Linked DNA regions of Styela clava. The main gene of each other region encodes a partner of the protein of the gene in region 4 in a complex. Links are inferred from orthologs where the notes say so. Each region holds a gene or a part of one and is shown on either strand. Other genes may lie near its edges. The genes, in order: nuclear pore complex protein Nup214-like, PCI domain-containing protein 2-like, nuclear pore complex protein Nup107-like and nuclear pore complex protein Nup98-Nup96-like.

Region 1 (7,800 bases), on a different chromosome or scaffold from region 4:
TTTTTTTAATGTGTACACTTTGTTGACTTTAACAGAATGACCCATTGTGCCACAGGGTCTGTCCGAATGTGCAGTACAGTGGGACACTTGACAAACGTTTTTCAAAGCATTTTGGTGGTAAGATAAAGATGCTTTAAAATCGATCAGCTGCACTTGGAAGTCTTCGATGTCCATCCATTCAAATACAAATAAGTTTAAGTCTTCGGTGCACTCGGGCTTGATGAGAAAAGAAAACAATGAATCAAATTGCTTAAAATCTCGAAATCTATTGGAAAACTGAAACGTTAGAGCCCCCATGTACCTCAATTGTATATCAATTTCAATTATATCAGAGAGAGAGAGATTTATTATTTGTCAACCAGAAAAACAAGTATTGCAACAGTAATAAAAATATACAATAATAAAGATGTTCGGTATAGACCGGGAGGAGCGATAAGACCATACGGTCATCAGAGTCAGCTCCCCCCATATTCACTATTTTATATTATGTATAATATTTTTTGCTTCCAGAGGGATGTCACAGTAATATATAAGAAGACAAGTGAATGATAAATAAAAAAGTAAATATTTATAATAGCAGTGGCGGCGCGTGGTCATTTTGACAACCGGGGCAAGCTACTGCGGGACCAAGTCACCCCCATCTACGGGGACAGGATGAGCGCTGTAAGTTCTCTCATCATTTTATGAGTATAAAAACCATTCCATCGGTAACAACCAATCGGCAAAAGCGACAATTTTTAACGATAAGAAAGTGTCTTTAAAACCGGTCCAAGTCAAGGGATTAATAAATATAGACATAGTTTATTTTGAAACCTATTTCAAAAGGAAAGGCAATATTTACCCAGATAAATACAATGACATATTAACAGAAACTTCGGGAAAGCAGACAAAACCTAAAATAAGGTTTAAAACGTTACTATGGAGAAAGGAAAGTTAATGCAAAGATAAGGACATGCGTCGCTCACTCATAGATATATATGCTGCTAGACTTCTACTGCTTGAACATATATGCAACACGCCGCGATTTCTTGGAAGCAAAATGCTCAATAACGCGTTGATTAAAGTCATGCATCTCAGAAATAACGTCTCTGTGAATGGATAAACAGCCAAGGAATTTAATCTATCTTGCTTCATTGTGTTTCTGAGATACGTTTTAATACGCTTCAACGTGCTGAATGTTCGCTCTGCGTCGGCGGAAGAAATAGGCGTCGTCAAAATGATGTCCAGAAATTTTGCAGACGCCGCAAAGGTAGTTACTAGAGTGTTATCTATGAGGAACCCATAAAGCGCGCAAGTTGATGTGATGTTCAAAAAAGTTTGATTGGTGTATATACATCGCAATTCATTTACCAATTTACCCACGTTTATCATGGGGTAAAATTTGGAGACAGTAGCCAACAAATGGATGGGAAATTGACGTGCAAATTTTGAAAAATTTTTGGGGTTCATCAAAGAGAACGCGGCAAGGTGTTCAGTGCGCAGACGATCGCCTATTTGATTCACCAGAATGTCACAGCATTCCTTTGCAGACAAAATCAAACGCTGCGTTGTTTGCCCGCGGCGTAAAGAAGCACTCCATGTGTCGTCGTATTTTATTGTATCCCGGATACGAGATACAGCATCGCAGAAGTTTGAAATACACGACTGCACAGACGCTCCATCCATTAGCCTTGACTGCAATGCGCCGTATAATACATCCACGTGATAGAATATTGTGGAGAAAAAAGCGAGAAAAAATGAAAACTCACCATCTTCTAGCAGACGCTTTAGACCTGCCGCCTCCCTCACAGAGCGTTCGTCCCAAACCGGAGAGCTCTGAATGCCATTGAAACACTCAATGAGCTCAGACCTAATTTCGGACACGCCCTGCACCACGCGTGATTGGAAGTTCCAACGTGTTGGTGCACAAGCTGGGAGACGGCGGCTACATATCTGGCGAAGGAGGTCAGAGCGCTTCGGCGAAACGGAAAAAAAATGAAGAAAACCCCGAAACATTTGCAAAAAATATACGGACGAGAGGGGTATCAAGACACATATTTTTAATAACGAGGTTAAATTGGTGTGCATAACAATGTAAAAAATGCGCATGAGGAAAATCTTCTTTTATATAAACTTGAACACCATGTTTCGACCCACTCATGACTGCCGCGCCGTCATAAGTTTGAGCTATCAATTTTGACTTCGCGTTGTAAGGCTGTAACACTTCTTTCAGTACAGCCGATATCTCGCAAGCCGTGCCATCAACGATTGGTACAAAGCTGTGAAATCTCTCGGTAGGTTTACCATCTTTCGCAAACCGAAAAATCACAGCCAGTTGGGAAACGCACATGATGTCAGTTGTCTCGTCAGACTGAATCGAAAGGAACTGGCAATTCTCAATTTCCAGAGCCAAATGTTGTAAATAAATTTTTAAACATTGAGTCGAGCTTTTTCATTATTGGTCAGTCCCTTATCAATTTTTATAATCCATATTGCCCACATATAGAGGCAGATGTCCCAGATTCGTATGGACTCAACGTAGGAAGAGAATGTAGCATTTTTCATCAGTATATACAATAATAATGATTTGGGACGTATAGATGCAAGTTTAAACGCAGAAAATTGGATGCAGCAATTCATATCAACATATACAATAGTTATGATATGGGATATAAATCCTTTAGATTGGATTAATAATATAAATGCAAGTTTGGTTTAACATAGAAAATGAATGCAGCAATTCATATCAACAATGAACGCACGCCTTCAACCTACAGCATAAATTGTTTAATTTTATAGGCCAGAACTAAACAATAAATTCAGGAGAATAACAACTTGATGGTCGATTGAAAAGGCCTTCAGGTGTTTGAAGTATCGAAAAGTTGCATTCTGGATGTCCCGTGTTTAGACATCCAGTCTAGATACAAATCCTTTCTATGCCTCAAAAAGACCCAACACCGTTTGCCCTGGACCCGGCAGACGAAGATTGAGTTCGCTAAGATGCGTGGTGATATCCGCGAGAAACATTAGTTTTACAAGCCAGTTTTCGTCCTCCAGTTCAGGGTAAGCCTTTCCTTGCCCTATCAAAAAGGCTCTTGTCTCAACTCGACATTCGATAAACTTCACGAGAACCTCACCGAGACTTAACCATCTGACACTGCTTCAGTGTTGTTGATCTGATGCACATCATGGTATGCACATTCCATCTCTTCAAGAAAAAATCGAAACTGTCTGTGTGTTGTAGCAGAGCGGGCGACCCTTACCACGATCAATCAACGATGAGCCACGCTGCCGCGCTATGTCCTTACTAAAATGGATATGTCCTTTCTAAAATCGCTATCTTCCTACTAAAATGGCCATTTTCCTACTGAAATAGCGTTGCACCTACTAAAATGGCTATATCCGCTACTGGTATGCCTCTACTAAAATAGCCTTGTTCTTTCTAGACCGCAATTCCGGTTTGCTTCTATTAAAACAGGGATGTCCTTACTAAAAATGCACGTACGCTATGTTCTTTCTATATGAACGTTTGTTCCTTCTAAATTGCGATTCCGATATGTTCCTACTAAAATGGCTATGTACGCTATGTCACAACTAAAATGGCTATGTTCCCTCTAAATCTAAATTCACGACCCCGATATGTCCCTACTAAATTGGCTATGTTCTTTTCGAAAAAAAAAATCCGCCATGTCCCTACAAAAATGGCATTGTGCGCTATGTCACTACTAAAATAACGATTTCCGCCCTTTACTTACTAGAATGGCTATGTCCGCTATGTCCCTATGAAATGGCTTTGTTCCTTCTGAAATGGCGATCCCGATATGTTCCTAGTTCCTACTAAAATGTCCGCTATGTTCCTATTAAAGTGATAAGAAGAACCCAATATTATCATGTTATTGAATTTGTCAAGTGAGAAAGATAGTATCACACTTTTTATGAAATCTTTCTGGAAGACAAAATTGCTTCCGATTTGCGTGTTTTTTTATTTGAGGAATAATATGACCACGTCAATATGGAAGAATATTACCTTATCGTCTTATTGATTTGATTGTAACGATGTGATAACGTTAGTACTCATTTGATGTTACTTGATTAAGGCGATGAATAGTGTGGCATTGGAACTTGAAACCCTAGTAGATTGAAACATTACTTACATTTTGTGGAATGACGTTATGTCAATATTGTTGTTCATATACGTACTATTGTTAAATCTAATTTCGCAAACCGGTGAGGATCTGAAAACTTGACGTTTCTGGCGTTTGTTTTTCTTTCAACGTCGAACGAATGGCCGTCGTGACAACGAGACATTTGTACGATTGGACTTTCTAAAACGGTTCAATCGGTTGATCAAACATGGTCTAGCAATTGATGAATGATAAAAGCAATTGTATTACATCGTCAGTTGTAAATATTAATTTGATATTGCGCTAACCCGTAAAAATGAAAGTTCACTTGAGAATTCATCAACAACTCTAGCGCGGGGCGGGTGCGCGCCAACCCGAATTTTATGAGAGTCTTTCTACTTATCTTAGAATTGGATTGTACGTTAAAACGTTAAAAAAGCAGTGCCAAGATAACGATTTTTGTTGTTGTGGAATGTGGATTGACCCAGAAATCCTTGTACTCAAACTTGGTCCTGAATATGTGAAAGGCCGCGACCGTGACTTGTTATTTATTTACACGCCGTTGATAATGCCACGCAGTGTTCCCATTGCGCTGTTGTAATGCAACCTCACTGTTCGTAATGCGATGTTCCTAATGCGCTACTCGTATGCTCAATTCTGCAGTTCTAGAAGTTTGCACTCAGTGTTGTATTATTACCGGTACCGTTTGTTTATAATCTTAGTTAATATTTCCTTACATATGATATTCCAGTATTTTGAAACGCACTTAATTTGACAGAAACTTAACTTACTTTAAAAATGACTGAAGAGGAAGAAGAAAATTTCCCACCAGAAATACAGAGACTTGTAAGTAGATGCTTAACTGTTTATAAGATGATAGATTGAATAAGTCGATTTATATTCAATTGTAGTCTATAAGTTGCAATGTCATATTACTGTTCTGTAACATGGAAAACTTGATACAAAATGTTTAATGATCTGTGATAGTCTACTGAGCGATATCGTATGAAAACTTCAATTTTAATGACCCTCAAATGATCACTAATATACTGATATAGCGCTTTTTGAAACAAACTGAAGTCGCTGGTTTTATCGCCACAATTCAGTATGGCTCAGATTCCAAGAATAGCCCTCGCATTAAAAGACATGAATTATAACAGTGAGTGCAAACCCTTTATATTGCGAGACAGTCTGGGCCTTCATACAGTCATATCGCCACAACTCAACTGCTCAATAAACTAAAAGGAAGCGCAATCTAAAAACGTCACATTTGATTCCTCTGAAAAAAATAATCCGATTCGATTCACCAAAGGAAAAATTTTTTGACCGAGGCGTGCCAAAAGCCCTCTTTTTAGCGACAAATGGAGAGTTTGTTTTATTGAACCAAAGTGTTGGGGCATCTTGAAATCAGAGAACTGTGCTCCTTGGTACCTCTGGTCTTTGTATCTCCATTTCTTGTAGGCCTAGTTTTATTGTTTTGTTTTTTATGCCAGAGCGATTAAAATTGAATTGAATATATCAAACTATTAAATGACGGTAGGCCTATAGTTTCTCTCAATAATATATAATTGAGATAACTTTTTTATTGCACAAATTATCATTTCAGCCAACTGAATTTTCATTTCGTGAACTGACAAACTTGAAAGCTTTTGTATCAGAAAGCCAACCTGAATATGCCACAACACGCACTGGCCTTCTTGCTGTTGCTAACATCTATGGATATGTCTTTATTGGAATGCCTGATGGCTTGAAGGTAGCTCATGTTGATTTCTGTGATGAATGATAAACATTGATGAAATAGTAAAATTTATTTATCTATGGAATATGTTTGCTTTTGTATCGGACTCAATTAAATGCTTGTAACGCACCTATGTTTATGCTGTCAATATTGGATAAATACCATAGTAAATTCCTCTGTATTATATTCTGGACTGTTAAGTTTAAACCAAACTTCAAACTCTTGGACATTAAAAAAGGAATTAGGATGTCAAAAGGACTTCAGCTTTCGATTCCAATATGAAGGAAAATTTGTCTCCCCTTGATGAGAAAAAATTTGGCTTATGCAAGCTTTCTTGTATTATATGTCGAGACGACTCAACTCCAGATTCCGACTCAAGGGAGGTATAAAATTAGACCCAAGCTCAGACTCCAATATCAATAAAAGCATCCCAAGCCGCCTGAATTCACAACCCTAAAATAGCTAAATGTTATTCACTATTTAGGTGCTGACCTCTGCTGACTTGCTTGAAGCTGGAAAGAAGAATTTGAATGTAATTGACTCAGCTGTTGCGACAATTGATCTGAGAAATCCACCAAACTGGATTGGAATAAACTCTGATAATCTCACTCTCTCTGTGTGCTGTAAAACTAGTAAAGGACCACAGATATTATTTTTTGATATCAGGAATATTATCAACAAGGTAAAATGAAATAAAGAAAATACTCTGATAGCATTGTTGTACATTAATATACAATGCAAAACAAAATGATATTATATTTTGATATCAGGAATATTATAAAGGCAAAACATAAATCAAGAAAAAACTTAGATGTTCATTTGTATACAAAAATGATGGTCGTATCGGAATATGGCAATACATTGCCCTCGTGGTTGAAACGTTAGACTCAACTGTGTTGGCATCGCAGATTACACATATCAGGTTTAATTTCTGAGCTTCCCACCACTCCCCAGTGTAATATAGTAGGGCCCACGATGCCGACTCGAAAACATTTCGGATCCTTCCAAATGAAACTTCTTGCATATCGTGAGATATCAGTGGCCGTTTGTATATTACCTTGTTCAGAGGGAAAAATGTGAATCAGCAGTCTTTTTAAAATTCATATTCTGGTAGATGCTAATTTGTTAATGTCTAGTTACCAAAGTGGTGTTAGGAGAGATTTTGTGCAGAAGAGATATTCTCTTAACGAATTTATATAAATACTTTTGCTTTTTAATATAAATTTATATTATGATTGTTATTTCTAAAGTAGCAGGCATTCACTCATTAGAATTTACCTTATTTTTTTAATTTTTATGATAAAATGTACTCAAAGCTCAGAAGTAATAAAGACACATCAGCAAAGTTAACTGAAATGCTGAGGGCTACTGAAAAAATATAGAATAATGGTGGTGCTTATGATCAAGAAAATGTTGATTGACATAAGACTTGAAGTACTTAGTGGTCAATACAATCAGTAATACAGCTATGAGATAATGTTTTTTACATAAAGGAAGTTCTTACTACATACTGATCTTGTATGCACCACCGATCAGAGTTATGCGAGAATAAGCCGACCCCTTTTTTCAGCAACTTTTGAGTTTCAAACTCTGATTATATGCGAGGATATATGGTAAATAAATTTAATATTGTCCATATTCTGGGCTTACACCGAATTACAGTTCTCATTTTCTATCTCTTACAGTCAAAACCTACCAAGACTCCATTTCATAGTATATATTTGAACAAGGATCCAAACTCATATGTGGTTAGTATGCAATGGAATCCTTCACCTGTTTGGCCAAATCTCCTTGCTATGTAAGTAATGTAATATTTTTATTTATTCTGTTTTGTTAAAAAACATAATTTGAGCATATATTTTGACCAGTCTATTTGATTATTATGTTATTTAAATCACACTTTCATATTAATTATAATTTTAGATTGTTTATAATTTTTTAATCAACAATGTCGTGCTT
Region 2 (7,560 bases), on a different chromosome or scaffold from region 4:
CTGCTTATGGCAGTATGGCTATGGGGTGGTGCAAAAAAAATATTTTGAAAGCAGCTGGAAGTTTGGACCAGTCTGCCAGTAGGTTACAAGCCTACAACTGCTGAACTGTCTGACTGTAAAAAGGCATGAATTAGGTGGTTCAGAAAAATGTTGGTGCTGCACTTTCGGCGCAAATTCATCAAACGCAGTGCCTTATTAAAATAATATGGCGAGTACCGGTACGGTACCTACAGTACCACTGTACCAGGTTATCGAACGAAATGTGCGATTATGCAAAGGACCAGTGCCAAGGGATCTGAATTAGAATTGGGAAACACTACCAAAATTCTGCGATTTATCTTACCTTTTAATAATTAATGAATCAACGATGATTGACGCAGAATGCAGCAGCTGGTTGTGAACATAGCTTGCAATTTTTGTAGAAGGCTACAATTGTGGTGTACGGATTTGCCAGGCATGGTAGCCTAGGGGCCTCGACATCCAATTTTGAACTGTTATTCATTTTAAGTCGTTTTTAAATTTTAAGGCTTTTACTGATTCAAAAATTTTTTTAAATTGACATTCATTGAATTTTTTATTTGGCTTAATGCTTGTCGCAAATATATTCTGTTTACAAAATTAACAATTAAATACGATCGAATGAATGGATTGTTCCAAATTTCCAACTTCACCCCTTCAACTAAACAAATATACTACTTCGAAATAAATGAACAGTTTTTTACCATAATAATTCCCTCTATTTATTGAAAAAGATGATACAAATCGATATATAGCTATACTCATTCATCTAAGCAATATTTAATCTAAGAATTATTTAATTATTTTATGATTTTCGGATAGTTTTTTAACAAAGACCCGTTTATTACGAATAACTTTTTTATTAGTAATATTTTATTTATAAGTAGGCCTACCTGGGGCCATGGCCCCTCCCTCACTTTTCCGCGACCGTAAATGGTTGTTATGAACCCTATCCAATGCCATGATTTTATTACAGCCTTGGGTTTTTGAAGAAGTTCTTAAATTTAACTTACTATCCAATCTATTCGGGTTATTAGCGAATGTATATTGCCTGTAAATAAAATTTCGTATAATTGATTCTGTGAAACGTTGTGACGTCATTGTTGAAGGGACATTACAAATGAAATAGGCCTAGCTTAGTGGCCTCTTGCTGTCTAAATACAGCCCTGCCTGTACCCCATAGTTCATAACATTTATTGAATAATCATAATATAGTGAATGCCATAACTACTTGAATAATGGCAAACAAAAATGTGATATGAAAATAGAGCCCATAGTTTTATTTTTTTTAAGTAACAGTCTGTCTTGTGGGTAGTATACTGGTATAGCAGGATGAATGCCTTAACTGCTTAAACGAGAATATCGGTCAGAGACCGAAGACTTATCGATTGAAGGTTAGGGGATGCCCCAAAACAGCGCTCTTACTCCATAGTGACACCATGTGTCCCATCACTAATTAATTAATAACTAGCTAATTATACGACATAATTCATCGAAAATCAATAGGCTTCTGATCCGAGCTATGATGATACACACGCAAAATTTGGAGCTGATTCAACCTCGCTTTTGTGAGATATCGCGGGCATCTAACAGAGAGACAGACAAACAAACAGACAAATACCTATCAACATACTTACCGATCTTAAGATCGGTAAGTAATAACGCTATTAGCCTTGAAAATTTGATTCTAATTCCCTAGCTTAGGGATCACCTATCTATTCATAGTCTAATGACCATATCTGCATAATTATCAGGTACATATATGATGGAGGAAGCTAATGATTCCTCAACTTCTGTTGGGACTGGCACAAGTGAGGATCCTCAAAGCTCAACATATAGAAGTTGTTGGGTATGTTTTGGAACAGATGACGATGAACATATGAAATGGGTGAAGCCTTGTCGTTGCAAAGGTACGACAATGTGGGTCCATCATGCTTGTTTGATGAGATGGATAGATGAAAAGCAGAAAGGCCATTCTTTTACTAAAGTAAAATGTCCACAATGCAACACTGAATATGTTGTTGTTTTTCCACCTTTTGGAAAATTGACGAGTTTTATTCAAACGATTGATCACATTGTGTTTAAAGCTTCACCCATTGCGGCAACCGGAGTTCTTCTTGGATCAATATATTGGAGTGCGGTCACTTATGGAGCAATCACAGTAATGCAAGTTTTGGGCCACAAAGAAGGGTTAGATATGATGGAGCGAGCAGATCCTTTATTTTTACTTGTCGGCCTTCCTATGATACCAGTCGGTCTTGTCCTTGGAAAAATGATACAATGGGACGATTATCTTTTGAGGTTATGGAAGAAACACTCTAGCAAGTTGGTTTACTTGAAAAAGCTGATTTTTGGGACACGCCCTTCACAAGAAGGAACTTCAACCATACTTCCTCCATCTCCAGTAGAAATGCGACAGACAAGAGAAATCAAGTTTACGAGAGTTCTTTGTGGAGCTTTGATCTTTCCAACCGTTGCAACTATTTTCGGAAAGCTTTTGTTTCACAGCGTTGAGTCGAATTTTCAAAGGAGTGCATTGGGTGGCGCATCGTTTGTTATTCTCAAAGGATTTTTGAATATCTATTTGAAATATCAAGTACAATCAAGAATGGGACAAAGGGAAATCAAGGATTATGTAGAACCTGTTCCACAACTGGAGACTGCTACTTGATTATTCTAAAGAATTGCCACTACATGCAAATTTACTTCATTCAGCTATATATATCTTTGTTCCTTTGAGATTTAACTATGTAATATGAAATTTAATATTAATTCTACAAGAGTTTTAGACATTATACTTTTTGAAACTTTGATCCGGATAAATCAGCTATATTTGTGTTCATATTTTTTGCATGAGCAATAGCAAGCCGAAATATTTCTAGTATTTTCAAACCGCAATACTAATTTATATGTTTATTACTAGAATGACAATTCATGTTTTATACCTGTTAGATTAGTGGTTTTCAACTATTAACTGATCGCATACCACTCAACTGGTTTTTACTCTGGCCACGTACCACTGACAAAACCATATTTTAAGGGTGGGGAACAATGGCACAAGAAACGCACTGACAATAGGGCGATTCCTGATCTCTGGAAAAACGACGGGTGGCGCTATAAATGCAGTTCAGCAAAAATATACAGTATTGAAAATAAGGAGAAAGCGTTGCCGGCTTATTTCTGTCAACTCAAAAGTTAGTTGTTGTTAATAATCCAACAATCCAAAGCTGCTTGCGTACCACTAGTGCTATGCGTACCACATGTTGAGAATCACTGTGTTAGATGATCCATGGAATCTAAGATTCGACTGTCTGCAATTTGCTTCTGATTTAAATTACCAAACTCAGTGCAGAATCACAACTACTCAATAAATAATATTCATGGGGTAGTATCGGTTTCATAAGCAGTATCTGCATTTTAATTAGAAAACTGCTACATGTGAATAGATTGTTTTTATATGGTGTGCCCTATAGCCTATATTTTGGATCATATTATAAGTTCATTATTTGTACATGACAGTCTTTGTCCAAGACCTATCTAATATTTGAATACATTCAACACTGGGAAATATTAGATATAGTGAAATATTTTTTGAAAGAATTTTAAAATATTTCCATTTGAAAATTCGTCAATTTAAGCACTTGGCATCAGAGGGTAGGGTGAATAATAGCTCTAATTCTAATTCTGATACTGTAGAAAATCACTTAAGTCAATGTATATCTAAACTACGGTATTCATCTGCAATACCAAACTCAATTTCTATAAATTAACAAAACTTCCCTGCAGAGCATGATCCTATGCAGGATATATTTTACCATTCATTGCATAGTTAAAATTTCAAATCAATATAAAAATTCCAATGTCAATAATATATTTTTTGTTCCATTCACCTTGCCAAAATATATCCTGACATGTAATTTTATAATTTATAAGTCACTGCAATCATGAATTGCTGTCTTATTCAACCCATATTAATATACAGAGCGGTCAGACACAATGCATGATTATGCTGCATTTATTTGTATTAATTATGAATTTATTTATGTGTTTACGTTATTTATGTTTCTAGTGTATGGCAATGTTGTTATTGGTTCTATGTTTGACCTTTTTGAAATTTTAAATCTCGCTTTATCAGCAATACTTTGAAATGTAAAATATTTGATAATTTATGGGTACTCCCGAAGTATGTGTACCAGGTTAGGGTTGGGCCGTAATTTTATTCCAATTTCCCTTATTTTAGTTCTATTACAAGTTTGGGGACTGCCTGTGTTAGCCCCCTGCGCATAGGTTTCAGTCCCTTCACACAATTTGATGTAAAATAGGCGAACAAAATTAGGGATTACCTTCATATTGGTACACATACTTCTGGAGCGCTGATTTATGTCATTGTAGTATATGACAGGTCTAGACTAGCTATCTAAAAATAAATTATATATTGGCACAGTATTTTACTAGTAATTGTAAAAAAGGGTTAGTTAAACAAATATTGTTGTAAAACATGAGCTGAACAAACTCTTTGTTTTGTTTTTTGTTATTTTATCTTTAGAATATCTCAATAATAGAGTAGTAAATACAACTTGCTCATCTGTCATTTATGTTGGTTTATTTAAAGTTTCATCAAGTTATTCCAACATGGAGTTCCATTCCCTAAATCAATATCTGCAAGAAGTAAGTGTTACAAATTTATGATCAAATCCCAGTCTCGTTTTTAAAATAGTTTTGGTTTGTTGGGTTGCTTTTCTGAAGCCTTATTCAGAAATTTTGAACCTGCTATTAGATATTTTGAATTATTCTTATTAAAAGGTCTATTTTGATTATTATTTCTACTTTGTTATGTTATTTGCAACATACATTTCTGGTATCTATCGTTGAAATTAGTGTTTCGAAATTTCATCCAGATATTTGACCATGCTTCTTTTTTCAAGGTTTCAACAGCATTAGATGAATGTGATGGTGAAGCACTGGCAAGTTTTGTCTCCTTCAAAGATCCCCACATTGCAAATTCCAAGCTGCAGAGAGATGATCCAGAGGGAAGTTGCCAAAGATATTTAGAGAGTCCATATGATAAATTATTTGCTGCTCATGTAAAGTAAGTTAGATTAATTTGATTTTTAATTAAGATTTAAGATAGGGGTCCGTCATGGAATTTTTTTAAAAAAATTTGGGGACCACTGATCTGAACTGATTGGTCTCTACAGTTCTTTGGTGTTTGTCTTGTGGTTCCATAGGGAACCATAATGATCCAGTTGAAATGAGAACACCTTTATGTGCATAAAAGCGTCTTAGAGTACTTAAACTTTTGGGTACAAACAGAAGTTCCCTGCAAGTGTAGAATAAAATTTTCTTCATTTTTGCGGAAGTGATTGAATAATTTATTGGTTCTGTTTTTTATGTAGCACTCAATATATCCTGTTTCGTGAATAAATAAAATGCACATTTATATATATTATTCATTGTAACATTATATGTGTAAGTTGTGTTTTAGATTAGCTTATGCATATCATGTTCATTTGCAGAGCCTGTTTCTCTGTTGCAAGTCACAATTTCAAGGATGCTCATGGATATCAAGTTCTGGCTATACAGTCATTTGTTAAAGCTTTCCAATTACAAAAAGATGAAAATTGGTAATTTTTTTTTTTTCATGTTATACCACAGCAGAAATATTTATACACAGATTTCCTTTACAAACCTTAGCTTTTGGCATTTCAGTGTTGCCTGTAACTTTGTTCAGAGTTAGTAATTTTCACTTCTGAGTGTGTGGGACTCTGCTCTGATTAAATTATTTTAAAAATTTAAAAGCAATAAAATCCTTTTCAACTCAAATAATGTTTTTATGTCTCAGTACAGGACGTAAATTTGAAGTCTTTTTGATCTCATGTGATCCCATGAAAAAAAATACTCACAAGCACTTGCTTTGATCAGTATACCATATACACAGTAATTATAATGAGTCACAATATTTGCTGATGATGACTTGCAGTAGTTACTTCTGCATTGTATGACCTAATAAAAATTACAATCCGTAATCGCACCTATTTGATGTTTAATTTTGTGGAATATTATGTGAGTAATCATGGATCGACCACTCCAGGCTAAGGTTGATAGACCTCTCATGTCATTACCAGCATTTGATGTTACATATGGTATTTACTAAGATGATATATTGTTTTAACAGGGCTCTTCCAATCATGTATGCATTAATTTTGGATCTGAGGACATTTGCAAATAATGTAAGAGTATAATTTCTTTATTCCAAGTTAGTTACGATTAGTTCTAGACTAGTATATTCAAACAACCATTGATAATTATCATTTTTAACTTCCAATGACTTCGTACTGATTTGTAATAAAGCTTAATAAATATTTACAGGCTGATAGAGAATTACAAAGAACGGGCAAAGGGAAGAAGGGTGATATGCTGGAAAAAGCTGCAGACACTGTGATGAGCTGTTTTAGAGTTTGTGCTAGTGATGGGTATGTGACATGTCAAAGAGTGAACCACAGCTCGTTTACTTTTGTTTGCCTAACTTGATTCTGGTCCAAAAACCATGCCCACCCCTGTTTTATAACAACACAATCTGTTTGGATTTCCGCTTCTGAAATATCCATTATCTGCATTGAATGAATTAGTAATCTTAGATCATGATTTCTTTGATCATTTTATATGTGAAAGAAAACGCGGAGCTATCAAGTCAATGGGAAAATCACTGATAAAAAACTTCGTTAGAAGCAGCATTTATCGGGCATAAACAGCTTTACATAAATTTATTTAGTCTTTTATCGAGTATTGCTATAGTTTTATCCCAATATTTTAAATGTGTTCAAATTGACACTGACACTATTATTTGCAGGAGATCATCAATTGAAGTGTCAAAGAAATGGGGAATGTTATTTTTAGTCAATCAACTTTTTAAAATTTATTTTAGGTAAGATATGCTTTCATTTTACCTCAATTTATGACCAACGTGTTATAGTATTAAAGATAACCAACACTCTCATTGTTTTCTTTTTATCTTCCATTTGTTTTTAAACAGAATAGGAAAACTACACCTTTGCAAACCATTAATTCGAGCCATCGAGAGTAATAATATAAAAGAAAGGTTTACTTTGGCCCAGAGAGTGACCTATAAGTAAGTCTGTCAGTAAACTTCTGGTTATTAGGCCTAATCATTTAAGATAATTTTGACCAACAAGTTGGATTGGGTAATTATTTTAAGAACTTAAGATTAAAAATTTGTTGAGGATGGTAAAACGTTCAAATATCTGTACTATTATGCATTTTAGCACCTGGATGAAGTCATCTACGTCTGAGAATTTTTTATTATTAGGTTAACCGTTAGCCGGACAAAACTGTTTACTATTGTAAATTCAAATCCTTCGACGCTATTTATGAAAAATATTATTGTGTTTACATTTCTTCAATTACCATAATGTGTACTCATTATGACATTCATTAGAAATTGACTCTGAACCTGTCATGAAATTCTCTGAATTAACAGTTGGTATATAACATTAGTCATGTTTGTTTTTAGGTTTTATGTCG
Region 3 (7,379 bases), on a different chromosome or scaffold from region 4:
CTTCATCAGGAATACACTGTAATGTTGTCATATGTTGAGTGAAGCCAGATGGAGTTTTAGGTTCAAGAAGATTTCTCGTTGCATCAAGTTCGAAATTTTCATCAGAAATGTCAAGCTAAAAATAACTCTTGAATATTAATATTCTTCAGAATTTTTCTGTACAGAAACTACAGATGATGAAATATAACAGAAATCTTGTACAAGACTATTAGCCATGTGTCAAAATGCTATAAATTTAACCAAATAACAAAAGAAAGAATTTATTCCAAAGGGGAACATTTCAAATTAACTGATTTATATTAGTTTTCAATTGAAAGAAGCATAACAACAAATATTATTATTAATGATAGTACCAAATTACACGATTGGGTTAATTAGGTTCTTGCATATACATATGTCAACATAACAAAAATATTTACTGGTAAATTTTGAAGACCAAACTACTCACAATTTGTGAACTGTAAAATGCCGAATTTACTTTAGACAAATTAGTATGATATACTACAGCAATTGAAAAAAATATATATTTCACTCAGTTTGCACTTCTCAGCCAAGATGGGATTTGGTTTAATCAATAAATATTAGAAGAAAATGAGTTGGAAAAGTTTGGTATAATTTACAAACAGATACGCAAAAATATCGACACCTCAAAACCAAACAGTGCTAAGTCCACTTTTCCAAAAAATGACATTTTTCAATTGCTGATTTTCCTGGACTTAGCTCTACATTTTGGTCTATTTGCCTTATCTCTAGGTGCTCTAGATCTCAAGACAGCTATGGACATAACCCTGCTTTTTTTAGGGCATTTGAGAACTAAACAGACCTGTGTCTACTATAGTGGACTTAGCTCTGGATAACTGCATTGTAAGTTGGGGCTAAGTCCGTTTTTTGGACATAGCTCCTCTCAAAAAATATAATACAAAGCGCTAAGTCCGTTTTTTGGACATAGCTCCTCTCAAAAAATATAATACAAAGCGCTAAGTCCATACCAGCCTCTATAATAACATAATAAAGGGGCCCTAAGTCCAATAAAATTGTTTTTGGTCCAGAAAATTGAGAGCCAAAAAGGGTTAAGTCCAAAAAAAAACCCCAAAAAAAATTGGGGCGGAGCACAAATTTTTTTATACCATCTAAATATGGCCTTCATTGTAACTTTGGTGGACCATAAAAACTAGACATCCTCAATGTAAGGTATTAGAGAAATAAAAAAATGAAACAAAAAAAAAAACGTTTTTCTCAAAACTAGAAAAATGGACTTAGCCCAATTTGGATTTCATGCGTCGATATGCTTTAGAAAGTCACATACACATAATCTCACCATGGAATATTCTGCTTCTTGTCTGGCCATCATTGTTCTAGGAAATTGCTGACTGGTAAAATCATAATTTGTCATTCCTGCAAGCATTCAAACTTTATTTTTAAGTGAACTAGATTCAAGACAACAAAAGTTCTATTCTTCGGGTTTCTGTGAAACTGATTACTTACTTATCCTACTTTTATTGAGCTAATAGATTAGTATCTCCATAATGTAAGAGTGCTAATGTGCAACATGTTCTTGAATCACATAGAATAGCTTGCAAATTGATGATAGATGATAAACAAATTTTTTTAAGATAATTCTATGTAAATGTGCACACAACCCTTATCATGATTATACCCTTAGAAACAAGTAGATTAGAGATTATAATTTGGCATAATTTTGTGGCTAGTTACAATGTGTATGGTTTCCAAAACTTAATAACAAAGTCTAGCAAATTATAAAATGCCAATATAGAAGTAGCGACCTGAAGAATAATTTAATATTATTCAATTCAATTCATCTCATAGAAATACCTCGGCTATTTGAGCTAGGTCCAGAAATTGGAGTAATTGCTTCAAGAAACGCAGGATTCTCTTGAACTATACTCTCATCCAGTTGTTGAAGACCTGAAAGTTAAAACTTGTATTAAGTTTATAATTAAGCAAGCATTTATATGCCAAGTAAGCACACTCCAAAGTTTTCCTCTTTTATCCACCAAAAATGGGATAGCCACCCAGTCCACAACAAATCATGAAAGAAACTAATGTTGACTGTATATCTGAAGATACTTGTTATATCTGATTTGCATTTATTACTTTGGTTCAGTAATACACCTAGTGCTGCTTAATTTTTTACCAAAGGATGACAAAAAATCTGATATAGAGGGGAGTGAAGAGGAATACCTCATAATCAAGTTTTAAAAAATTATATTCTGAAAATACTTTGATATTGTTGTGGTGTCATCCTTGATCTTCTTTGCATACTTCTTGCGTCTCTCATTGTTGATGGTGAATTAATCAATCCACTTGCGTTCAAACCTCGAGTTCTGAAACATAAGAGATAAGCATATGCATTTAGGATACCGAGACTATCACAGAATATTGAACACCTTAGGAAGAAACTTATTTTCAATTTTAGGAAATTACTTGGAAGACGTATCAAAAAAGGGCTATTATATCTTGCTGGCATGTCTGTCCAACAGAGCACTTAATGCACAAACGAGAATATCGGTCGGAGACCGAAGACTTATCAATCGAAAATGCGGTTTCGATTCACGACTCTATAGTGACACAGCGTGTCCCATCACTAATTAATTAATAACTCGCTAATTATAGGACATAATTCATCCAAAATCAATAGGCTTCTGGTCCGAGGTATGATGAATGCACATGCAATTTGGAGCAGATTCAACCTCGCCTTCGTGAGATATCGCGTTCATCTAACAGACAAACAAACATACGGACAGACAAATACCTATCAACATACTTAACGATCTTAAGATCGATAAGTAAAAACTGAACAATCACCAACATTGAAGTAAATTTTATTATTGAAGTAATAAAAATAATATAGGTGTGAAAAAAACATTGGCAACAATTTATTCGCTTACCTACGACTACCAATATATGATCCATTCCTTTCATCCATGTTTTGAAAAAATGTTTGAAGAATTTTGAAGTGTCCCAATAACAATTAATATTTAAATCTATGTTCTGAAATAACCGAAAATAATGAAAAACTTACGATAGTGAAAAAGGCACAGTCTTAGAATGAAAATCGGCAGTGAGAGAAATAAAGCAGTGATGGAACAACAACTGGGCATATCAAAATACCAGAAAGAAAGTGGCCAAATATTCAAGTACAAAACATATAGAATTGACCTTAGCAACAAAATGATATGAAATAATCAGTTGTGTCCAATGTTGTCCAAGAGTCAGGGGTAACACCTTTTAAGTTCTAATAATTTTTTTGATTCTCAGTACACATACAACTTATGAGCATTCCATTGGCTGATCAGAAACTTGAGCACTAGCAAATTCTGTTGGTAAACAGGTCTGGTCACGAGGTGGAATTTGAAGTTGTTCAATCATTTTAATACACGTCAATGCTTCACCAGTTTTCTTGTGTTTTCCTTCTAATGTTTCAGTTTCCGGTTCACTTTCAGTGTCTCTCTCATCTCCACTGGAATACTCAATATCAGTGAGGGTACCCCCTTCCATGGGGTCGAAATATTCATCTTCGTCAGATTTATATTCCTTATCCATATCTTCATCTAATATTGTAGCTGTTCTGTAGTATTTGAAAGAATCTTTACCTTCTTTTTTATCAGAATCTTTGTCCTCCTGCTTTTCATTACTGACTTCTTCTTCTTCTTCATTTTCACTATCTTCTGCTTTCATTTTAGCTTGTAATTCCTTTCGCCGCTGTTCATCATTCTCATATTTTAGTTGGAGGAACTTCTGACCTCCGAGTTCAATTAATTTTACATCGACCCCAACTTCTTCTTCTCCACTTGAGCAAGAATCTTCTTCCTCATTTTCGTCAACTTCTTCATTAGGAATAAAATCTTCAGAATTATCGTCTGCTTCAAAGTTAGTTTCTGCAAATTCCTCTTCTTCCCCATCACTTTGAGAATCTGCAGTCAGTTCCTCCGTCTTCTCAACTTTTTCTTCAACATGTTCATCCACTTTCTTCTCAGGAGCAATGGTGGCAGTTACATTTTCGCTTTGTACATCAGACATGATTTATTATGATTGGTTTATGGTTATGAAGTACAAATTTATAGACACTATAACTGAGCATATGAAACGAAAGAAGATCAGGATGATCAAAGCGAAATTGTTTTAAAAATTACCACCATACCAAGATCATGAATATTCAAATAGTGAGAATCAAAAACCATGAGTCTAATAATCAAACAAAAAATGATAGAACTATATCAAGAGAAACTTTTCATGTTTTTTATTCATTTTCAGCTATTTACAAAATTAAAATATGCTGGTTTGGAAGTATTTTATCTGAAGCATGATGCAGAAATAGTTTTTATTAGTGCATCTGTAATAAAAAACTAGAATTTGGGTTTAGTCAAGTAAACATGTTTGAATTTACCTACTTTCAATGTTCATTACAGCTTTTTGCATAGCCTATGTTCAGATGTTGGATATAAAAAAATAGTTTAACATTTACAATCAGAGACCACACACGCTGAACATCTGAGACTGAAAGAGTAGGCTTATTTGTAAAAAGGACTGGACTACTGCTTTGGCCGACAGAGGTTCAAGCTTCGAAAACCGGCTGCGACATTGCATTCGCAAAGGTCAAAGATCAATTAATCAGCGACCAAGTTCATCAGAAAGTTCTGTGTTAATGTACAATTGTGAGTATCGAGATACAGGTTACAAAAAAACTTGTGTTTGGAGGATAGACTCGTATAGTTGTTAATTGACATGGGTTTTGGTGAGCTTGTGGGAAGATGATGAAAGATACGTGTTATCAATAATTAGGCAGTTTATAATAGGACCTATTCGAATTTGTCAGCAGTGTATATTACAGACGATGGGTACTGAAAGTCGGAGAGTGGTGTGGTTCTTAAACTCTGAAACTAGTCACTGATTGCATGCCCAATTTCTGTATTTCTCATGGAAAACGCCATAAAATCCGGACTGGATCAGAATAAATCAATCAATGACTACTGCAATATTAGAATATTCAGAACAGAAATACAAAATCTACAAACAAATAGGCCTACTTGGGTGAGTTTGGCGAGTAAAGCTTAGCTAACTATGAATTAAGTTGAAAAGTAGTCTAAATCAATATCCGGAAATTAATGAAAACTATGAACAGTGGTCAGTAGTGCATTAAACTAAAAGCAATCAGATAAGTATAGGTATTTCGGGTCTGGTATAGTTCAGTACCACATGTACTTCTACTTGGCCTGGCTCAACAATTTTTGCATATGTCAATCCTAACCCCCACCTGACTACGCCATTGAAAAAATACGTCATTCCGACGTCACAGTGCTGTAATAAGGCCCACCAAAGTATGCGGATGGTTGTCCAAAGCGCGCAGACAATCATCCAAAATCGAGCAACCATTTCTCTCGTTTCTCGTCACAACGATCACGATAGGAGAGAGATTGTCAGCGTTGGCGAGTTGGCGCTGATGCCATTTCGGGCGATGGGAATTTTACTTTGTCAGGCCCTATGGCGTGATAGTGACGTAATTTTTGGATGGCATAGTCAGGTGGGGGTTAGGAATAACATATGCAAAATTCGTTATAATACGTCCACCGGAAGTATTTGTGGTATTAAACTATACTAGACCCTTCATTTCAACTCCATAATCAGCATAACAATAAAATAATTGCAAAAAAAAAAAAAATGATTATGAAGATGAAGTGAGAGTTTATCACTAGAATCAATCAATCAATCATTTTATTTCGGCTCTCTGACTAAAACGGGACAATACAAAAAAGTAAACAGACAACAAATACAGAGATACCTGGAAGGCGAGCATAACTTAAAATAAAGTTAAAAAACGTACAAGTACGAGCCCACCCACCAAAAAATAAAATAGGAATAATACGAGTATACAAAAAATATGGACACGATTCAAAATCGGGCAGTGCTTATAACTCAATTTAAAATGATAAAAGCCAAATAATTGTTTGAATCAGTGAATAATTTACATGGAGTAAAATAAGAGTTGCGCTTGAAATAAGACAGCAAGATTCAAGTAGATAAAACTAAATGTAATAGAATCCCAACCACCTCCTCCGTTTCTGATAAATGTTTCAAATGTTCTTATACGATTATGGTAGCTGAGAAATCGCCAGGATTCTGGGATTAGCCTTGCAGTAAATATATATAAATAAAGCTGATCTCTCTCGAATTCTGTAAATTTTGAGTCTGAGATTCCTATATAGCATAGAAATATACAAGTCAAAATTTATGGGAGATACCGGTATCGCTTGCTGTCAGAAATGCAAAAAATCACCAAAAAACTATCAAATGTGCAAGACAGATAAATAAATAGGCTACATGTTTGAAAAGCAGCATGAAGTTTTGAATCATTAATATCGTGTTGACTCAGTCACTACCTCAATACATGTCCAGTATCATTACTTCAGCTCGAAAGGGACAACTGTAAAACCTGAATGAGGGAAAGTTTTCTAGGGAAACGGTAACCAGATGCCACGTCCATTCCAGTGACCCACACGCGCGCGAAAACAGTGGGGATTTCCCTTGTTTTATCATAGCTTCACCCTTGGCTTCACCTAACGGTCAATTTGTCGCGCTCAAGATATGGACCTTCCCCCGACCTTTGATCACCGAAAAATTCTTCCTGTACTTTACCATTGCAAAATTTTCGGGGCTATTTTAAGAGTGCTTCTGCGAGTTGACGCCTGTAAAATGGGGTGTGTTTTTCAACCCATCATTACGATTCATCGCATACAACAATCCGTTTTTTAAAAGTACCGGTGAAGAAATTTAGCCTAGTCTTTCACAGCTATTTCTACACTAATTTTTCCATACTGCAATTAAATTAAAACTCCTAGGAAGACAGAGTGATCATTGAATTATCTGATTTATATTTAAGTTTCCGAAACAAAACTGAAAACCAACGATGAGAGTTCAAAAACGAGGTAATGTTTACGACCACGCTTGAAAATCTGTCTGAGCAATGACATTAAACAACATGATAGGCAACTCTGACGTCACTCCATAAGACTACATGCGAAAGATTGTATTTCATGATACGCTCCAATGCACATATTTCTCGTCGCCTTTCGCGACCGTTTTCCGCTTGCTTTTGCTAACCGGCGTCCTCTTTACGTTTAGTACCTGCCTTTTTGCGCCTGTAACGAAAGAAAATAATCTCTATATCTAAGAAGTTTTGCTCACTTGGAAAGCTGGAATGACATACAAGCTGTAAAGAGTAATTCTGGACATCATAGACTTTTTTTTATCAGAGAAGATTACAAACGCGATAGAGTAAAGATTTGTGTGGGACATTTTGCAGATAATGACAAAGTTCAAAGTTAGTAATTTTAAAGTTTGCGCTTAAACATTGAAATTTC
Region 4 (7,760 bases):
GGGAGGGTTGAACTTAACCGCTCCTGTGCCATTTTGCTGTTGAGCAGATGAAAATCCTATCAACCAAAAACAAACAGTTTGAGTTTCACATAAGATTAAGATAACTAGATCAGTGGTTCCTAACAGTTCTACCCTGGCGGGCCAGTAAAATTAAAATCAATATGCTTCTAGACAAAATAGTCACACTTAAAAACATTTCACACGAAGAAAAACTATCAAATAATATGCGGCCCAAAAATTGAAATGGGTGAAACATAAAATAAAATCATATATTTGAGTAATGAAATGCAGTGCTGGGCATCCATTATGCCTGAGGAAGGCACTTATAAAACATCACATATAAAAAGAACAAGTACATGCTTAATCATGTACAAACGCAATTAACTCTAGTGAGCACTTTGCTGCTGGGCTCAAAGAAGTTTCTGCAATACCTAGTTCTGCGGTTGATCGACGCCTCAAACAAAATGAATTTACATTACAATGACAAAGTTGTCGGTAACTTTGCACCAGGCTTAAAATACTGGAAAAGATCTTTGTGGCCTTTTTTTTTTGCGTGTCACATGACCACCTGCAGGGTCGCAACAAGTTCATATCTTGCTGAAATACTGTTTTTGACCGTTTTCTGGTTTAAACTGGCAAAAAAGCACCGGCGGTTGGGAACCACTGAACTAGATGAAACAGGAACTTCAAGTCAAAGTCAAATTTAAAATTTGATCTACAAGTACAAGATGAGGTGACAGACTCACAGTCATTCATGTGTTAAAATTATCATTTACATATAAAACTTTACAAGTATTATGGATAACGTACCAAAAAGGCCCCCTCCAGTAGTTGTGGATCCAAATGAGGATGTTCCACCTGTGCTACCAAACAATCCTCCAGTTTTTTGCTGGCCGAAAGCTGAACTTGTACTTCCAAAAGCAGAATTACCACCAAATGCACTTGTTCCACCTGTAGCTGCCGGTGTTCCAAACAAACCTCCAGGTTTGCTAGATGTTGGAGTTCCAAACAACCCACTACTTGTAGAAGACTGACTAGCTCCTCCAAAAGTGAAGCCTGGTGAAATAGAAACAGATTGATTATTCCCGAATGCTGAGGTGTCTGTGTTATGATCACTTTTCCCCCCTCTTTAATAACCAGCACCTCTCTAATATGTATAACATAATAATGCTTTGCCAAAGTATGAAAAATATTTTATGGAAAAACTTTATGGAAAAAGCTGATATCCTCCTAACTATTGTCAAATTATCACTTCACAAAGTTTCTTTAATAAGAATTTCGAGGAATAGGCGATACATTAGCATTTTACCAATTTCATTAGTCGAATACAATAGACTAATAAAGAAGACAGATAGATAGTTTTATTTCGAAAACTCCACAATCTGACAATACAAACGAATAAAAAATGAAGAATTCCGGAGAGCGAGCAAAACCTTTAAAAAAGTTTAAAATAAGATGAGTATCATGTGCCCGCTCACCAACACGCATTTACAAAAAAACACAAACTTTGTTGAACAAGGCTTGGGCAAGAAATAAACACACAAAATCCGCGAATGTAATGAACTTTCGGGCTGTTGTTTAATTTTAAAATACTCAAGCTAATAAGGACCAATTCAATCTGGTACATAGATAATGTGTGTATTTGTAATGTGATAAGGTGACGAGAAGGGTCAAAAACCATGAAAACTACATTGATTTGGCATTGGTGACAATGTGATACAGTGAATCAAGATACATATAAACAGATCAAAACAATACTGGTAAATTCATGCGCTCAAGCAATTATAAAAAGAAGTGATCGAAAATGGTCCTATAGTTTTATACATTGATTGAAGATATAATAAATGGCTGCCATTACAGCACTTGAGTGTGCTTAGTTTGAGACAGCATGCTCAACAAAATTATTAGACTTTTTGAAGTGTATCATAATACAGTAAAAAATTTTATACCGGTTTTATTTGCCCCAAATGCTGGCGTGCTTGTGCCAAACAAGCCACCTGATGTAGTTGATTTATTTCCAAATAGCCCTCCAGATGTGCTTGTACTTCCAAAACCTGAATTATTGGTTCCAAACCCTAAATTCGAAATATACTGCAATAAATAATCTGGGCAAGACAGCATGGTAATGCACATGCTTAATAATTTGAAAGCATAATAACCAAATATCAGCTGTTAGGAACTATGAGTTTTGAATCCTGAGGTATAAATAGAGTAGGGCACAGTTTTCTGATTCCAAGGTGTCCTAACATTTGCTTCAATAAAACAAAGAGTCTGGCACAATGGCAGATATGCCATGTTTATCTGATAATTATCTTAATTAATTATAGTCGCCATTGCCACGAAATGCGTTTTTTTTGCATAAGAATTCTCTAATGCTACTGTAAAATTTTTTTTGAAGAATTTAATGATAATGTTTTTCGATTGCACTTGTTTTTAGTTTATAGAACAGTGCCGGTTTGCGCATTTTTGCCGATAGGGAGGCCAAAAACTGTCTCGCAAAGGCAGGAATTGCACTTACTGCTATATTTGATGTCTTTCATTATGGGGGCTATTCTTGTAATTAGAGAGCTGAAATCAGTGTACTTAAATATGGCTATATTATTAGATACCATCTAAGGATGTTATTGAAATGCCATATAGAATACAGGAATGGGTAGTAGCTACACAAGCAGTGCACTGCTCTTCGAGCATAGTCTATTGTGCGAGCAGGTAATTATATCAATAAACCTGTGGATTTGTGACATAATTAACTTACCTCCTGAGCCAAAACCTGAAGATCCGAATCCTGACTTCTGACCAAACATCTCTACATTTATATGATTAATGGCTTGTGAAGAAATTATTGTTCACTTGAACTGTCACACTAAAAAACGTGGAGAAACACAAGAACGGGCAGAGACTTCCAGACTTTTCAATCTCAAACTATTGAACTTTTTTCTTTCACAGTTTTGATTAAAATATTTTGATATTGTTATCACCTAATACAGTAATACTTTAATACAGAAATAGGTTCTCCTGAGAGTGGAAGTGGTGACTCCTCTTCGGCCCATGGGCCGGGGCCACGGCCCATCAGGCTATGGGCCACGGCCCATCAAGTTGTGTAAAGGTAAACTATTCACTTGGCTAACACAGACAGTCCCCAAACTCATAATAGAACTATAATGTAACAAATCTGAACAAAATTATGCCCTAACTCTAACCTGGTACACATACTACAGGAGTTTATTTTTTGGTTCGAATATTGACAATTTTGTAAAAATTGAAAATTTTGGTAAGATAATTGAATTTTTCCTGACGGGGCCGCGGCCCATAGCTTGATGGGCCACGGCTCATGTGGCTCAATTAGATGGGCCGTGGCCCCGGCCCATGGGTCGTAGTGGAGTCACCACCCCTGTAGTCTCCTGAAGTATATGCCCACAAGTACCTAAGTAGGCCTGGCTCATCAATTTTTTGCATATGTCATTGCTGGGGCTGTCCATGCGAACCGAATATTCGAAATCGAATCGCAAATTATTCGAATCGTTTTACGGCTAATTTTCAAATCGCTAAAAATTAGGTACATAAAATTTTTCATCGTTCAAGCAGCGGCGCTTCGAGCTTAGACAACCTTCGCCCCTGGCATAATTGGTTTCCCGATATTTCTTACATGTCATATTACGATAAAAATGTGTCTCTCCTAATGCCCAGTGGCATGTGATTAGTTATTTCAAGCATGGTCATAACCTAAATGTTATTATCATTCATGACGATTTTGATAGAGAGTACATAGGGTGAAAAAGGCAATATAAGTATCAGATAGAAAAAAGATAGTTCTATAAATAGAATCAATTTGCAGCTGTCCAGTTATTAATCATAGGAACATGGTACAAGTGACTTAAAGCTGAAACAGGTATTGCGGGTTCTTTATGATGGCAAAACAGGGTTGTCCAAAACGAATCGAATATTCGAATGTATTCGAATATCAAAGTATTCGAATACCTTTTCAGCTCATTTTCGAATAATTCCGAATAATAGCCACTTTTCGCCGTAAACGTGGTGTTTCGTTTCACGGGAATCTTCAAACGACTTTTTAAGCTGTCTCACGTATTGTAATGACGATGAAATAGAATCCTCACTTTGATTATTTGGATTCTGTGCGACCGTACGTCGCAAAGTGTTGCGACACATTTGCACGTTTGCGTGGGTGGACATTGCCGACATTCGTCTACGAGGCTTTCAATTTACAAATTCATTTCCATTACCTCGAAAAATTGACAATTACCGTATTACATGATATTTAATCGCAGACCGGTTATCGTTACTTTAAAGAGAAACACGGCCACCGAGATAAAGTGATTTGTGACCCTTTCGTTTTGCCGATTCAGCAGAACACGACAGGGACAGGAAAACACAGCTGTGAAATAACCCGTGGACGTACAGTGTAGTACTTATCACATTTCAAAATTATTTCAACTTTCGGGTTAATAGGTTGTCCAAAATGATTGACGCTTTACAACTTAAATTTACCGCTCAATTGTTAAAAATAGTTAATTCTGTGAGTATGATTCTACCGAACTAACATGATCTGGTTCTGAACATATAAAATTGTTAGCGCGTATAAGCACAACTGAACAACAGGGACACAATTTTTCTACCCGTCTTATTGGAGGCCTATATGGAAAAACCCATTTTTTGAGTGTTAAAAATAGACATCGTCCTATTTGCCAAGTGGACTTATTTAGCCGGGAAATACGGTATTTATAGCCGTCATTGTTACGATATCCAATAAATTGTGACAAGTTGGAAAAACAAGTCGATTCATTAGAAAATAATTTCTGGCAAATAATTCTGATAACGATGGTTAAAAGTATCGATCTTTTACCAGGATGATTCTTTGTTGCGCAAAATAATCCAATCCATGACTGGTACCAGCATTTAAAATGTCATGTCGTATTAATTTAATTCTGCTTATCGTAACACATGGTTGTATCGACAATCTGTGGACATAAAATGTGTGGTAAACTGACCGATATTATTAAATATTGATTTCTATTTTTATATTGATAAAATAATGAAAGTATTAGTACCAAATACCACTGGTATTTGTGGACATGAAATACGTGGTAAACTGCCCAATTATAATCAATTTCGGATTCGTATTTAGAAAATAATAAAACTATTATATATAATTGTAAAATGCAACGGCGATCTGTGGCCTTAAAATGTGTGGTAAACTGCCCGATTTGTCAACTTTTGAGTTATGATGATAGAATTAAATTAACACGGTAAGGCATTTTGAATAGTGGTATCGGCCATTGATTCGAATATTTTGCGCAGCACAAAATCATCCTGGTAAAAATATGCATACCTTTTAAATACAAACCAATGGCAGCCATTATCCAAATTAGTTCCCAAGAGCGGGATAAAGTATAAAATTCTTTTTCCGACTTGTGACAATTTTTTCGTTATCAAAAACTAATTGTATTCGGCACAATATCTCTGCCATCTGTGGACATAAATTGTGTGGCAAACTCGCGATTAATATTAATTTTTGATTCCCATTATCGTATTTACAAAATACAACGGCGATCTGTGGACTTAGAATGTGTGGTAAACTACCCGAATATAAATAGTTTTTGATTCCTATTTTCATATTTATGAAATAATAAAAGTATTATTACTCGAACATACAACGGTGATCTGCGAACTTAAAATGTGTGGTAAAGTTCCTGAATATAATTAATTTTTGATTCGTATTTTTGTACTCACGAAAAATTGTCACCAGTCGGAAAAATAACTCATACTTTATCCCGCTTTTTGGCAAATAATTTGGATAATGGTTGGTATTTAAAAGTATGAGCGTTTTACTAGGATGATTTTGTGTTGCGCAAATATTCAAATCCATCATCGATACCACTATTGTCGTATTAATTTAATTCTGTTAACATGATTCATGGTATATATATAAAATATATACTGCAATAATCTGCAAATATGAAATGCCTGGTAATATATATAGCTAGGTTGTAACTTGTTGATAGCAGTTATTCCATTGCTTATTGTATGGAAATTCCTACATACATTTAGATAAGCTTCAATTAGTGGATTTTATTTTCGAAGTATTCGAAATTTCATATTCGAAAAAAATAATTTCGAATGTATTCGAAATAGTGAACTATTCGGTATTGGCCATCTTTGATGGCAATACCTTTTAGAAACAGAATGTGTAATTTCTCATGATGGCAATACTTTATAATTTGTATATGTATTTTCCATCCATTTACCAAGACATTGAACTCTTGCATTTTGATGGCTGTTGTACAGTAACAATGTTATAGTCATCAAACTAGCTCTGAATTTGTGATCTCCTTATATGCAACTTCGAATTTCTTGAACAACAGTATTATCTATATTAATGGTTGTTATCATTTTGCAGGAAATAACACACACAAAAAAAAACATAAGAGTAATGATAATAGGATTAAAATAGCATCTACAGGATTTGCATGTTCTGTTAAAACTGAATCCATTAGAATTGAGTAAATAAGGTATTGAGAGTTCAGCCTTAACACTCAACAGTTTTCAAAATCCTGATTTTGGAGACCTCTATTTGGACCAGTTTATAGAGGCAGGGGATCTCCTTTTATAACTCTAAAAACATAGTTATGCAAAATATCAGCAGTAAATTAGATTTAACTGGACATAAGTTATCACAATATCGAGAGGGAGTTTTTATTGAATAATAGAAACAGATTTAGGACTGCGCAATAATATTCAATTATTCGGTTCAATTCGACAAAAATATTCGATTCGAATCAAAAAAATATTCGATTTTGGACAGCCCTAGTCATTGCCAACCTTCAACTGCAGTACTGACTACGTCACTCGAAAATTACATCACTGCGAAGTTGCGCTGACATAATGTGGCCCTCCAAAGTAGAGACCCCAGACATACATTATTGAAAAGTACTGGTTATCGTATTTGACTCGCAAAACCAAAAAAAGCAGATTTGGCTTTGCAGACCAGTGCAAATGGATTACAGAATCGAACAGCACAGTGGTTCGCTTATGAATATACAGATATATCTACTTTCTATTTCTATGTACAAATATGAAATAGCGGATTGCTAAGATAAAGCATGTGAAAACAAGTTTTCCAATTATTATTTATCTACTATTTATGATATACAAATACACTATACCAGGGGTTCCCAAACCAGGGGTCGCGACCCCAAACCTCAAACTACACAGAAGTCATTTTCAGTAATAAATCTAATTCTAGATATGGGTGCACTTTTGAGTGAAAACATTCCACAAAAATTTATATTAATACCTGACCTACCACATAATCAATATTCAGATATTAGCGGTACGGAGACTTATAAGCAGATAATAGGGGCTTTTACCTTGTCGATAGCCAAAAATCTCTCCAACACGTTTTAAATGCAGTTATTTTGAATAAAACCCCAAGCCACAGAGTTATTTATCGGGGAGAAAAGGAGGCGCAGTTCTTACCACTCCATGGCAGCTCCTGCCACAAACGAACCGCGGCAGCTCTTGCCATGGTTTTATAGCGCTATTCTGTATTCAGTAATCAGTATTAACGGTATATTCACAAACTAATGTACCAAATTCTAATTGATCATGCGGAATTATATTTACTTAAACCCTAACCCTAACCCCAAATCCATCAAGACTGTATCCATAAGAAAAACGTTCCAACTTACCCAATATTTGTCACCATAAGGGACAGCCCTGTCCTTACGACCCACCTGCCGCGG

What was found.
Region 1: nuclear pore complex protein Nup98-Nup96-like (region 4) and nuclear pore complex protein Nup214-like share a complex: the UniProt entries of both Drosophila melanogaster proteins name them as parts of the nuclear pore complex. The link is inferred for Styela clava from reciprocal best matches to the Drosophila melanogaster genes Nup98-96 and Nup214.
Region 2: nuclear pore complex protein Nup98-Nup96-like (region 4) and PCI domain-containing protein 2-like share a complex: the UniProt entries of both Drosophila melanogaster proteins name them as parts of the nuclear pore complex. The link is inferred for Styela clava from reciprocal best matches to the Drosophila melanogaster genes Nup98-96 and PCID2.
Region 3: nuclear pore complex protein Nup98-Nup96-like (region 4) and nuclear pore complex protein Nup107-like share a complex: the UniProt entries of both Drosophila melanogaster proteins name them as parts of the nuclear pore complex. The link is inferred for Styela clava from reciprocal best matches to the Drosophila melanogaster genes Nup98-96 and Nup107.

What each region holds. Positions count from the first base shown.
Region 1 is NC_135255.1:11,062,710-11,070,509, forward strand, and holds the start of nuclear pore complex protein Nup214-like, read left to right. Parts: upstream 1-4,790; 5' UTR 4,791-4,901; coding exon 4,902-4,949; intron 4,950-5,709; coding exon 5,710-5,856; intron 5,857-6,325; coding exon 6,326-6,523; intron 6,524-7,526; coding exon 7,527-7,639; intron 7,640-7,800. UniProt on the Drosophila melanogaster protein: Part of the nuclear pore complex. Serves as a docking site in the receptor-mediated import of substrates across the nuclear pore complex including emb, RanGAP and phosphorylated Mad. Protects mbo/Nup88 from proteasomal degradation at the nuclear pore.
Region 2 is NC_135256.1:15,194,911-15,202,470, reverse strand, and holds the start of PCI domain-containing protein 2-like, read left to right. Parts: upstream 1-4,560; 5' UTR 4,561-4,650; coding exon 4,651-4,686; intron 4,687-4,943; coding exon 4,944-5,107; intron 5,108-5,534; coding exon 5,535-5,642; intron 5,643-6,193; coding exon 6,194-6,248; intron 6,249-6,387; coding exon 6,388-6,491; intron 6,492-6,868; coding exon 6,869-6,943; intron 6,944-7,051; coding exon 7,052-7,147; intron 7,148-7,549; coding exon 7,550-7,560. Other genes in the region: E3 ubiquitin-protein ligase MARCHF5-like, read left to right, coding at 1,773-2,689. UniProt on the Drosophila melanogaster protein: Required for the export of nuclear mRNAs and involved in mRNA trafficking in the cytoplasm.
Region 3 is NC_135258.1:21,257,810-21,265,188, forward strand, and holds the start of nuclear pore complex protein Nup107-like, read right to left. Parts: upstream 3,018-7,379; 5' UTR 2,948-3,017; coding exon 2,910-2,947; intron 2,346-2,909; coding exon 2,242-2,345; intron 1,927-2,241; coding exon 1,834-1,926; intron 1,396-1,833; coding exon 1,319-1,395; intron 116-1,318; coding exon 1-115. Other genes in the region: uncharacterized protein LOC144427178, read right to left, coding at 3,292-4,041. UniProt on the Drosophila melanogaster protein: Plays a role in nuclear pore complex (NPC) assembly and maintenance. Required for nuclear import of Mad. Mediates the association between the nuclear pore complex and a subset of active chromatin regions adjacent to lamin-associated domains.
Region 4 is NC_135250.1:14,540,452-14,548,211, reverse strand, and holds the start of nuclear pore complex protein Nup98-Nup96-like, read right to left. Parts: upstream 3,013-7,760; 5' UTR 2,805-3,012; coding exon 2,756-2,804; intron 2,076-2,755; coding exon 1,950-2,075; intron 1,057-1,949; coding exon 811-1,056; intron 57-810; coding exon 1-56. UniProt on the Drosophila melanogaster protein: Part of the nuclear pore complex (NPC). Required for MAD import as part of the Nup107-160 complex and required for nuclear export of Moe probably via its association with Rae1. Plays a role in nuclear mRNA export.